3 linked regions of the Anolis sagrei genome follow. The protein of the gene in region 2 interacts with the protein of the main gene of each other region in a pairwise test. Links are inferred from orthologs where the notes say so. Each region holds a gene or a part of one and is shown on either strand. Other genes may lie near its edges.

Region 1 (3,753 bases), about 35 Mb from region 2:
AACTTAGTTAACTACAGGAAAGCTTGCAATAAATGGAAAAAGGATGAGGAAGGTTTAATATAATAGTTTACAAAGCGTTATAGTCACATGTAATTATTCATATAATTTTGATAATATCTAAATGTAAACATTATTCCTAAATAGCTAAATTATTTTCAGTTTTGAGAATAAAAATCTCTATGATGTTTTGTTACATGCTATTGAAAGAAGAAGGCATGAGAAGGCATGCTGAGAAAGTACACTGGCAGAAAGTTAGTAGTCCTTAATAATGTAGTGTTCTGAAGAACATGGGAGAATGGGGCTGGGATTAATGAATAATATACACTAGATCAGTAGTACATATCTATACCTTCAAGTAGGTTCCAACCTAAGATGAGCCTAAGGTAAACTTATCATGTGGCTTCCTGAGGTTGAATCAACCAATGAATTTCCATGGCCAAGCAGGGTTTCAAACCCTGATCTCCAGCATCATAGTCCAACACTCAAACCACTACAATTTTTGGCCTCGAGGACATGGCATCAGAGGAAGAATAATAAAAGTGGAGAATTGTAAGTTAATTAAAAAGTAGTGCAGATCAAAAAGTAATGTGGTTGTATTAGTACTCCCTTTAAACTGTTCCAGGAAAGTATCAGAGGAACTGAACAAGGCCCTTGCAAACAAATAGTTGATTTTTAAAATTACAGTGATTGAAGAGGTCTCTAAACTTGAATGTAAATGTATATGTATCTGTACATTTCAGTACAACACTAGAATTCTTTTAACAACCAGAACAAATCTCAGTTTCCAAACATAGGGAGTGTTTTAATTAAAGCAAACCACGTTCAATTAAAGCCAACTATTCCAATAATGTTCTTTATCCTTCTTTAGATGATCACCATGAAACATAAGCTAGCAATTTTGCCAAGGGACCTTCCATGAGATAAATTCCACTCCCCATATGTTTATGATTCTATAGTAATGAAAATGAACTTTATAGTTAACTCTTAACAACCAGCAACAAGTAAACAAGAGTTTAAGCCACTCAGAGTCCTCTGGGGAGATGGGGTGGGATATAAATAAAGTTGTATTATTATATCATTATTACACAACACATGGAGAGTGGAATGTATTTCAAGTTATTGTTCTGGGCCCTTCCACACAGCCATATAACCCAGACTATCAAGGCAGAACATCCCACAATATCTGTTTTGAACTGGGGGCCCTTCCACACAGCCATATAACCCAGAATAGGAAGGCAGAATAACCCACAGTATCGGCTTTGAACTGTGTTATCTGAGTCCACAGCCATATATCCAAGTTCAAAGCTGATAATGTAGAATTTCATTCAGCTGTGTGGGAAGGGGGGCGTGTGGGTTATTTGAGGGCCCTTCCACACAGCGCTATATCCCAGAATACCAAGGCACAAAATCCCACATTATATGTGTGTGGACTCAGATAACCGAGTTCAAAGCAGATTTTCTGCCTTGATATTCTGGGATATAGGGCTGTGTGGAAGGGCCCTGATTCCACACTGCTATATATCTCAGTTCAAAGCAGATAATGTAGGATTTCATTCAGCTGTGTGGAAGGGGGGCGTGTGTGGGTTATCTGAGGGCCCTTCCACACAGCACTATACCCCAGAATTTCAAGGCAGAAAATCCCTCATTACATGTGTGTACTCAGATAACCCAGTTCAAAGCATATATTCTGGGATATAGGGTTGTGTGGAAAGGCCCTGAACCCACACTGCCTTATATCCCAGTTTAAAGCAGATAATGTGGGATTTTATTCAGCTGTACGGAAGGGGCCTCTCAATAACTACATTATCTGCTTTGAACTACTACAGACTTCCACTGCTTTCCTTTACCTTGCTTGAGGAAAAGAAATGGTTTTAGGAGGCCAAGGTATTTTTTCCAGCAATATCAGCTCTCTTTAGGAACTTTGCATAACGATTTCCAAGTATATTTCCAAGGGTGGAGCAGCCACCCAACCAGGCTATACAACATCCACAAAGATTCACATAAGGCAATAAATAATCCTGCTGAGGGGTAAAAAAAAAAATACTTCAACAGGAGCAGCAAATAGTCCAGTTCGCAAATGGAGACGATGAGCGCAGACTTCAGCTCGATTCCTATTTCATCCTGATCCACAGGTCTTTTAAAGAAATATACTCTTTTAAAAACACAACAACAAAGAAGCGAAGAAAGCCAGTGCGTTGTGGTTTTTTCAGTGCTTCTGGGCCAACGATGGCGAACAAACAATACACGTTACAGAGACTCCTCGCTTGAGGTCATGAGGGCAGGACTATAAAAACACAAGAGGTACAAATGAGCAGAGGCGATGAACCAAGCGGGAAGGCACTCCTCCTGTGGGGCCCTTGCTAGGCAGCTGAGGGTCCTTTCCTCCTTTCGCGTTCCCGGCTCCTCTCGGCCGCCTTTAGAGCGGTTCCTCTTTCTCCGGCTGAAGCGAGGGCATGAGGGAGGCCAGGGAGTCCGAAGGGGAAGAGGCACGGGGGCTTCTCCTCCTCCTCTCTCCCGCTCTCTCCTCCTTCCCCGGCCCTCTTCCCTGCCCGAGGAGTGAGTGGGTGAGGGTCCGGGGCGGGCTCCTGAGGAGACGAGGCCCAGGCCGGCGCTCCGCCCCCTCCACGTCCGAGCAGCCAGGTCTCCCGCCCGAAGGAAGGGGCTGCCTCCGTCCCGCGGCGGTGGCGGCGGCTTGGGCCCGGGAGAGGCCGCTCTGGGAGTCCGCCCTTGGAGCCGGAAGGGTCCCGCCGTCACTGCCTCCAGCCGGGCCCGCCGCCGCCTCCTCCTCCTTCTTCTCCTTCTCCTCCTTCGCCGCCTCCTTCGCTGTTCCTGCTCTTCCCGGCAGCCTTTGCGGCTCCTGTACACAGCCGCGCGTGGCCCACAATGCACCGCGGGAGGCGCTCCGCTCTTTCTCTCCATCCCAACCTGGCTCTCTCGCGCCTCCTCTGGCCAGGAAGCGGGATTGCACAAGGGAAGCTTTTCTTGCTGCTGGGTTGTTGTAGGTTTTTTCGGGCTATTTATTATCATTATTATTATTATTATTATTATTATTATTATTATTAATTTTATTTGTACCCCACTAGCATCTCCCGAAGGACTCGATGCGGCTAACACAGGCCAAGGCCTCAAAACACAATACAACAATACAATACCTAAAGCAAATTAAAAACAGTTAAGCAGAATAAACAACAAACAGTAAACAATACATCAAGACACTATAAAACTGGGCCGGGCCAGAGTAATGGGTGCAAGATTAAAAGTGCTGATGTGGCAGGAGGTATGTAGGATTATAAGTAAGTGCAGAGTGCAGTGTGCAGTAATCTTAGTTCTACTAAAGTGCTTCTGGGACTTGGTATTGGAGGTTCCTAATCTGAGAAGGCACATCGGAACAGCCAGGTCTTCAAGTTCTTTCTGAAGACTGCCAGTGTAGGGGCCTGTCTGAGATCTCTTGGGATGGTGTTCCAGAGTCGGGGGGCCACCACAGAAAAGGCCCTGTCTCAAGTCCCCACCAAGCGCGCTTGCGACGCAGGCGGGATCACGAGCAGGGCCTCTCCAGATGACCAAAGTGAACTTGTGGGTTCGTAGACGGAGATGCGGTCACGCAGGTAGGGTGGTCCCAAACCGTTCAGGGCTTTGTAGGTAAGCACCTGCACCTTAAATTGGGCTCGGAAGATAAACGGCAGCCAGTGGAGCTCCTTGAACAGGAGGGTTGACCTCTCTCTGTAATGGTACATGGTTAACATCCTGGCCGCT
Region 2 (3,753 bases):
TTAAGTTCCGTTGGGGGGTTGTGGAGTTTTGCTGTCCCGTTGAACCAACCTAACAGATTTATATATATAGATTACAATTGATTTAATGCATTTTATTACGTTTTCTCTAATTTTTGATATTAGCAGTTCATGGCCTGTGTCACAATCTGTTCCTAGTATTGTTTTTGGAGAAAGAATTGAGCCTCTCCATTTTCTCCTTCCAATTATACATTTTTAATTCAGTATTAGTCATACAATAATGTACATGTATAAATCTTTTCAAATGCCTAAATAATGTCTTTGTAACAACAAAAGCCCGATGCCTTCACAAAATTTCATCAGTCCCTCTCCTGCTTCATTTTTTATTCTAGGCCAAAAATGCTTGGTTCTCCTCTTTTTCTTCCCACTGAGATTCAATCACCCATGATCAATATGTCTGATTGATTTATTCCTGAAAGCCTGCATAGATTGCATTGATTTTTTATTTTCTACCAACAGAATTGGGAGCATAAACTTGGATTAAAATTATTTTCATAGTTATTCCATGAAATTACTTGGTCTAACTTTAAATTATATTTCCTGATTGCTTTTACTATATTACAATTTATTATGCATTCCATCTGATTTCTTAGATGGTAATTTCCTGAGTAAAACGTTATGTAATTATTGCACTGAAAATTCCTATTGACATTAGTTTCCTCACACCATTTACAGGATGAGCATCCCCTACCTGAAGTATTCCAAAATCCCAAACTGTCCACATGGATGGCTGATATAGTGACACCCTGACTTTGATGGTTTAATATACACCAACGTTTGCTTCAAGAACATTTTTATATGGTACATAAAATTACTTTCAGACTATTTGTGTAAGATATATACAAAACAACAATGAATTTTGTGTTAAGACTTGGATCTCATCTCCAAGATATCTCATTATGAATATGGTAGTATTGAAAACTCCAGATAAAATCTGAAATACAGAACACCTCTGGTCCTAAGCATTTCAGACAATGGGATACTCAAGCTTTTATCACAAGGTTTGTATTTCCCATTTTTGTACAATTTCTACTTCCAATGATCCACATTCCTTATTCCTATCAGATGCCTTGTGAAACTTCAGAGTTTTCTTTCTAGCACAGTTAGGGTGCAAGACTGGTCACTTCTGCAAAATGATGAAGTATGTCCAGGGAGACAGATGTAATTTCTTATGTATACACAAAACTAGAGCTCAAAACTCCATTGAATGGAGCAAGATAGGAAGGATGCAACTTAGAATTAAGATAATTCTGAATTTACATAGTCATGAACCCACTGGACAACCATGGGCAAGTCGTACACTCTCTGACTCAGAGGAAGACAAGGACAAACCTCTCCTGAACAAATTGTGTCAAGAAAACTGTGTGATAGGGCAGTGGATCTCAAACTGTGGGTCCCCAGATGTTTTGGCCTTCAACTCCCAGAAATCATAACAGCTGGTAAACTGGCTGGGATTTCTGGGAGTTGTAGGCCAAAACACCTGGGGACCCACAGGTCGAGAATCACTGCCTAACAGTCTCATTTGGCCAGAAATTGCTTGAATGCACATGGCAACAGCCACCCTTGAAAAACAAACTATGCTGGCAATTTAATGTAGTTTGAGGCTAGTCTCAGACCACAAGCTACTGCAAAAGTGTGTGAAAGAAAGCCCTTAATGTGCACCAGTGGTTTGTGCAATCACTATCCAGGCCTCAAATTGGTTCCAAAATTTTCTATGTAAGCATCAGCACAGCTGAAACCAGTGTCTTCAATACTGGCTTGAAACTGTACAAATGGGGCCATCCAAAAAAGGTAAAGATAAAGATTTTCCCTTGACATTAAGTCTAGTCGTGTCTGACTGGGGTGTGGTGCTCATCTCCATTTCTAATCCGAAGAGCTTAGAAATGCTGTCTGTAGATGCCTCCTAAGACATGTGGCCGGCATGACTGCAAGGAAGGCCATTACCTTCCCACCAAAGCAGTACCTATTCATCTACTCACATTTGCATGTTTTCGAACTGCTAGGTTGGCAGAAGCTGGGCCTAACAACAGGAGCTCACCCCACTCCCCATATTCAAACCAGCAAGCTTTCGGTCAGCGAGTTCAGCAGCTTGGTGGTTAAACTGCTGCACCATCAGGAGGCCCTTGGGGCCATCTACATTATAGAATTAATGCATTTGACATCGCTTTAACCGCCCTGGCTTGATGGGAGTTGTAATTTCATGAGGTCACAGCACTCTTTGGCAGAGATGGCTGAAGACCTTTGAAACTACTTCTCTCATGATTCCATAGCATTGAGCCATGATTGGTTTAAGTAGTGTCACACTGCAATCATTCTATAATGTTGATGTCCTTTAATGTAATGCGCAAACTGCATTATATGGCAGTGTATATCCCAGGCAGGGGCCAACTTGGGCCCTCCGGGTGTTTTGGACTTCAACTCCCACAATTCCTAACAGCCTACTGGCTGTTAGGAATTGTGGGAGTTGAAGTCCAAAACACCCGGAGGGCCCAAGTTGGCCCCTGCCTGGGATATCCAGTGAAATTGTGGGAAAAAAGCACTCGAAATACTAGCCAGAATTTTGCAAATCAAGCAAAGAGGGTCTGGGGCACCTTTAGAATGGGGCCTGTTAAACTCCCTCGCCAACCAAAGCCCGCTTCTCCCCTTCCCCACCTCAACTTCCAGCCCGGTTCCCCTTTCCGCCGCCTGTTCTCTCACGGCTCCCCTCGGCCCACTCACCTCCTCTGCCAGCCGAAGCAGCACACGCAGGGAGTCCCTCAGGATCTCTCGGAGCGCCTCTTCGGAGGAGTTCCCCGCCCGGGCGGAGGCCTCGGCTTCACCAGAGCAGCTCCCTTCCCCGGTGGACGCCATGACAGCCGCTCAGCGCCAAGGCAACCCTCGCCATACCTCGCCCCCTTGGACGTGGTCGCGCGTCGATGACGACAGCGCTCCCTCCGTTCCAAGAGCCCGCCCTTTGCTCCGCCCCCTCCAGGCTCAAGATTGACGGCCAGCGTGGAATGGCTTGAGGATTTAGGAAGGTTCTAAAGGCCCTGGCTCCTGGAACGCGCATGCGCAAGGGAAGTTGGGTGCTCTACGCTGCAGCAGGCTTGTACTTGGATGCCACTTTTAACTGCCATGGCTCAGTGCTATGGAATCATGGGAGTTGCAGTTTTATAAGCTAATCAGCCTTCTCTTTCACTTTTTATGGGTGCATCTACACTGCAGAATGATTGCATTTTACTCCTCTTTAACTGCAAAGGCTCAATGCTATGGAGTCATGGGAATTGCCATCTAAAACACAGACATGTGCCTTTTATCTCAAGAACAGAGAAGCATCCTGAGCTCTGAAGATCACCTGGGAAGGAATCCCACTGGAGCATTGCAGCGCACCCAAATACCTGGGAGTCACTCTGGACCGTGCTCTTACCTACAAGAAGCACTGCCTGAACATCAAGCAAAAAGTGGGCACTGGCACAACCTGGGGATCACAACCAGATACAGTGAAGACATCTGCCCTTGCGCTGTGCTACTCCGCTGCTGAGTATGCATGCCCAGTGTGGAACACATCTCACCACACTAAAACAGTGGATGTGGCTCTTAATGAGACATGCCGCATTATCATGGGGTGTCTGCACCCTACACCACTGGAGAAATTACATTGTCTAGCCGGTATCGCACCACCTGACATCCGCCGGGAAGTGGCAGCCAATAGTGAAAGGACCAAGGCAGAGACATCTCCAGCTCATCCCCTGTTTG
Region 3 (3,753 bases), on a different chromosome or scaffold from region 2:
CACAAACACAGACATTATATATGCACACATATGAATCTCCGCTTCAGTTTTGTACACAACTCTGACAGGAATAAAGCTTCCCAATAGTAAGCAAAGCGTGATGCATGCATGTGTGTGTGTGTGTGTGTGTGTGTGTGTGTGTGTGTGTGTATATATATATATATATATATATGGGAGAGACTGTGCATATTTGTGTGTAAATGCATCCGTTCTCTATAGTTTTGTACACAACACTGACAGGAACACAACTTCCCAGTAGTAAGCAAAGTGATGCATGTGTGTGTGATTCTCTCTGTATGTGTGTATGTGTAAATGAATCCCCTTTTCTTCAGTTTTGTACACAATTTTGACAGGAATAACACTTCCAGTAGTAAGCAAAAAGATTCATTTCTGTGTGTGTGTGTGTGTGTGTGTGTGATTCTCTCTATATGTGTGTATGTATTCAGTTTTGTACACAACCTTGACAGGAATAAAGCTTCCAGTAGTAAGCAAAGTGTGGCAAAATGGCAAAAGAAAGTGCAAAAGTGAAGTTTGCAATCCTCTATTCTCTCTCTCCCTCTCTATCTATCTATCTATCTATCTATCTATCTATCTATCTATCTATCTATCTATAAATTATACACACAAACACAGAGACATTATTTATGTACACATATGAATCTCCGCTTCAGTTTTGTACACAACATTGACAGGAATAAAGCTTCCCAATAGTAAGCAAAGCATGATGCATGTATGTGTGTATATGTGTGTGTGTGTGTGTGTGTGACTGTGCATATTTGTGAGTATGCGAATCCCGTTCTCTACAGTTTTGTACACAACTTTGACAGGAATACAACTTCCCAATAGTAAGCAAAGTGATGCATTTGTGTGTGTGTGTGTATGTGTGTGTGTGATTCTCTCTATGTGTAAATGAATCCCCTTTTCTTCAGTTTTGTACACAACTTTGACAGGAATAAAGCTTCCAGTAGTAAGCAAAGTGTGGCAAAATGGCAAAGGAAAGTGCAAAAGTGAAGTTTGCAATCCTTTATTCTACATAAACAGAGACATTATTTATGTTTTGTACACAACCTTGACAGGAACACAACTTCCCAGTAGTAAGCAAAGTGATGCATTTGTGTGTGTGATTCTCTCTCTGTGTGTATGTGTAAATGAATCCCCTTTTCTTCAGTTTTGTCCACAACCTTGACAGGAATAATGCTTCCAGTAGTAAGCAAAGTGATGCATTTGTGTGTGTGTGTGATTCTCTCTCTGTGTGTATGTGTAAATGAATCCCCTTTTCTTCAGTTTTGTCCACAACCTTGACAGGAATAACGCTTCCAGTAGTAAGCAAAGTGATGCATTTGTGTGTGTGTGTGATTCTCTCTGTATGTGTGTATGTGTAAACGAATCCCCTTTCCTTCAGTTTTGTACACAACTCTGACAGGAACACAACTTCCCAGTAGTAAGCAAAGTGATTCATTTGCGTGTGTGTGATTCTCTCTCTGTATGTATGTGTAAATGAATCCCCTTTTCTTCAGTTTTGTACACAACATTGACAGGAACACAACTTCCCAGTAGTAAGCAAAGTGATGCATTTGTATGTGTGTGTGTGATTCTCTCTGTATGTGTGTATGTGTAAATGAATCCCCTTTTCTTCAGTTTTGTACACAACTTTGACAGAAATAACACTTCCAGTAGTAAGCAAGGTGTGGCAAAATGGCAAGAGAAATTGTGAAAGTGAAGTTTGCAATCCTTTCTTCAACACACACACACATTACATATATACACACAACTATCCGAATGCCTACTTGCTGGGGCTGTGCCTATTTGGGGGGGGGGGGGCATCCATCCCCTGAGGGCCAGGAGTTTCCCTCCCTCCCTCCTCAGTTTGTCACACTTTGGGAAACACACGCGGAAGTGGGCAAGAGTTCGGCCAAATTGTCGTCCAAGCAGCCGGCCCTCGACGGGCACGAAAGGAGCCGAGAGACCCGTCCTCCCCCCCCCCCCCCCGGGCCTCGCTTTCTCCTTTCTCCCCTCCCCTCCTCACGGGAAGAGATCCCCCGAGTGGCGGGATCCCATCCCAACATGGCCGCGGGTTCCCCGAGGAGGAGCGCGAGGCAAAGTTTCTCCTTCCTTCCCTCACTCCCTCTTCCCTCCCCAAAAAAAGCGGCGCCGAGAGGTTGCTTACGGAGAAGCCGATGGGCGCCCTCCTGCCCGGCTCCCTTTCCTCTCCTCTCGCTCCGTCGACGGCTGCTGCTACTGCTGGAAGTCCTGCTGCCCCGCCCGGAGAGGGAGAGAGAGAGGAGGAGGAGGAGGCGCCATCATCCCGCCCCAGGGAGAAGGAGGAGGAGGGGCCGCCGCCATCTTGGGAGGGAGGGAGGTAGGCCGCCCCCACGGTTTTCACCCTCAGAGCTCCTCTTTGGACGCCTCTACACCAGGCCTGAGCAAACTTGGGCCCTCTCTTCAGCTGTTTTGGACTCTCAACTCCCTCCATTCCTATTTATTTATTTATTTGCCTCATTTATTTCTTTATTTTCGACATTTATACGCCGCCCTTCTCACCCCGAAGGGGACTCACGGCAGCTTACAAGTTATATGTACCTATAATCTTCTCTATACAATCAGGCACTTCAATTCACTCTCAACAAGAGATTCCCCCCAGGCGCTTCCAGGCCATTGAATACAAATCAAGGTGCTCGTGATCCCACCAGCGTCGCAAGCGCGCTTGGTGGGGACGCGGGACAGGGCCTTTTCCGTGGTGGCCCCCCCCGACTCTGGAACACCCTCCCCAAAGACCTTAGACAGGCTCCTACATTGGCTGTCTTCAGAAAGAACTTGAAGACCTGGCTTTTCCAATGCACCTTCCCAGATTAGGAAATCTCCACTACCAAGTCCCATAAGCACTTTATCAGAACCAATGATTGCTGCACATCGCACATCGCACTTGCCCTGGAAGCCCTATATACACCTCCTGTCACATCAGCACTTTTAATCTTGTACCCATTGCTCTGGCCCGGCCCAGTTTTATTGTGTTTAGTGTATTGTGCCTGTTGTTTATTTTGCTTTATTCTGTTTTTAATTGTTTGATTTGCTTAGATTGTATTGTTGTGTTGTGTGTTGAGGCCTCGGCCTGTGTAAGCCACATCGAATCCTTCGGGAGATGCTATTTGAGAACACAGAAGTGCTGGACCACTCTCACAACCACCATGTCAGACTACACAGAGAAGCCTTTGATATCCACAAGCATGTGGACAATTTCAACAGAAATTGTCCACATGCTTGTACAAATAAAGTTTAATAATAATAATAATAATCAGCTGAAACATTACCCTGGTCATTCCACAGATATATAAACCCATTTTTCCTACTACCAACAGACCCCACTACCTCTGAGGATGCTTGCCATAGATGCAGGCGAAACGTCAGGAGAAAAATTGCCTCCAGAACATGGCCATATAGCCCAGAAAAACCTATAACAACCCAGTGATCCCGGCCATGAAAGCCTTCGACAATACAATCTTCTATATAAATAAAAATGTAATGTTCGTTTGTAAGATTAACATAACTCAAAAACCACTGGGCGAATTGACACCAAATTTGGACACAAGACACCTAACAACCCAATGTATGGCCTTCACTCAAAACTTTCTGATTTTGTCATTTGGGAGTTGTAGTTCTTGGGATTTATAGTTCACCTACAATCAAAGAGCATTCTGAACTCCACCAATGATGGAATTGGACCAAAGGTGACACACAGGACTCCCATGACCAACA

The links. The genes of interacting proteins can lie anywhere in the genome.
Region 1: the proteins of MBIP (region 2) and PPFIA1 interact in binary tests that used the Homo sapiens proteins (3 or more experiments, as listed by UniProt). The two-hybrid records come from large-scale screens. The link is inferred for Anolis sagrei from reciprocal best matches to the Homo sapiens genes MBIP and PPFIA1.
Region 3: the proteins of MBIP (region 2) and PLEKHF2 interact in binary tests that used the Homo sapiens proteins (3 or more experiments, as listed by UniProt). The two-hybrid records come from large-scale screens. The link is inferred for Anolis sagrei from reciprocal best matches to the Homo sapiens genes MBIP and PLEKHF2.

Annotation. Positions count from the first base shown.
Region 1 is NC_090021.1:267,216,268-267,220,020, reverse strand, and holds the start of PPFIA1 (liprin-alpha-1), read right to left. Parts: upstream 2,870-3,753; 5' UTR 1,848-2,869; intron 1-1,847. UniProt on the Homo sapiens protein: May regulate the disassembly of focal adhesions. May localize receptor-like tyrosine phosphatases type 2A at specific sites on the plasma membrane, possibly regulating their interaction with the extracellular environment and their association with substrates.
Region 2 is NC_090021.1:301,829,694-301,833,446, forward strand, and holds the start of MBIP (MAP3K12-binding inhibitory protein 1), read right to left. Parts: upstream 2,952-3,753; 5' UTR 2,869-2,951; coding exon 2,737-2,868; intron 1-2,736. UniProt on the Homo sapiens protein: Inhibits the MAP3K12 activity to induce the activation of the JNK/SAPK pathway. Component of the ATAC complex, a complex with histone acetyltransferase activity on histones H3 and H4.
Region 3 is NC_090024.1:33,460,961-33,464,713, forward strand, and holds the start of PLEKHF2 (pleckstrin homology domain-containing family F member 2), read right to left. Parts: upstream 2,292-3,753; 5' UTR 2,168-2,291; intron 1-2,167. UniProt on the Homo sapiens protein: May play a role in early endosome fusion upstream of RAB5, hence regulating receptor trafficking and fluid-phase transport. Enhances cellular sensitivity to TNF-induced apoptosis.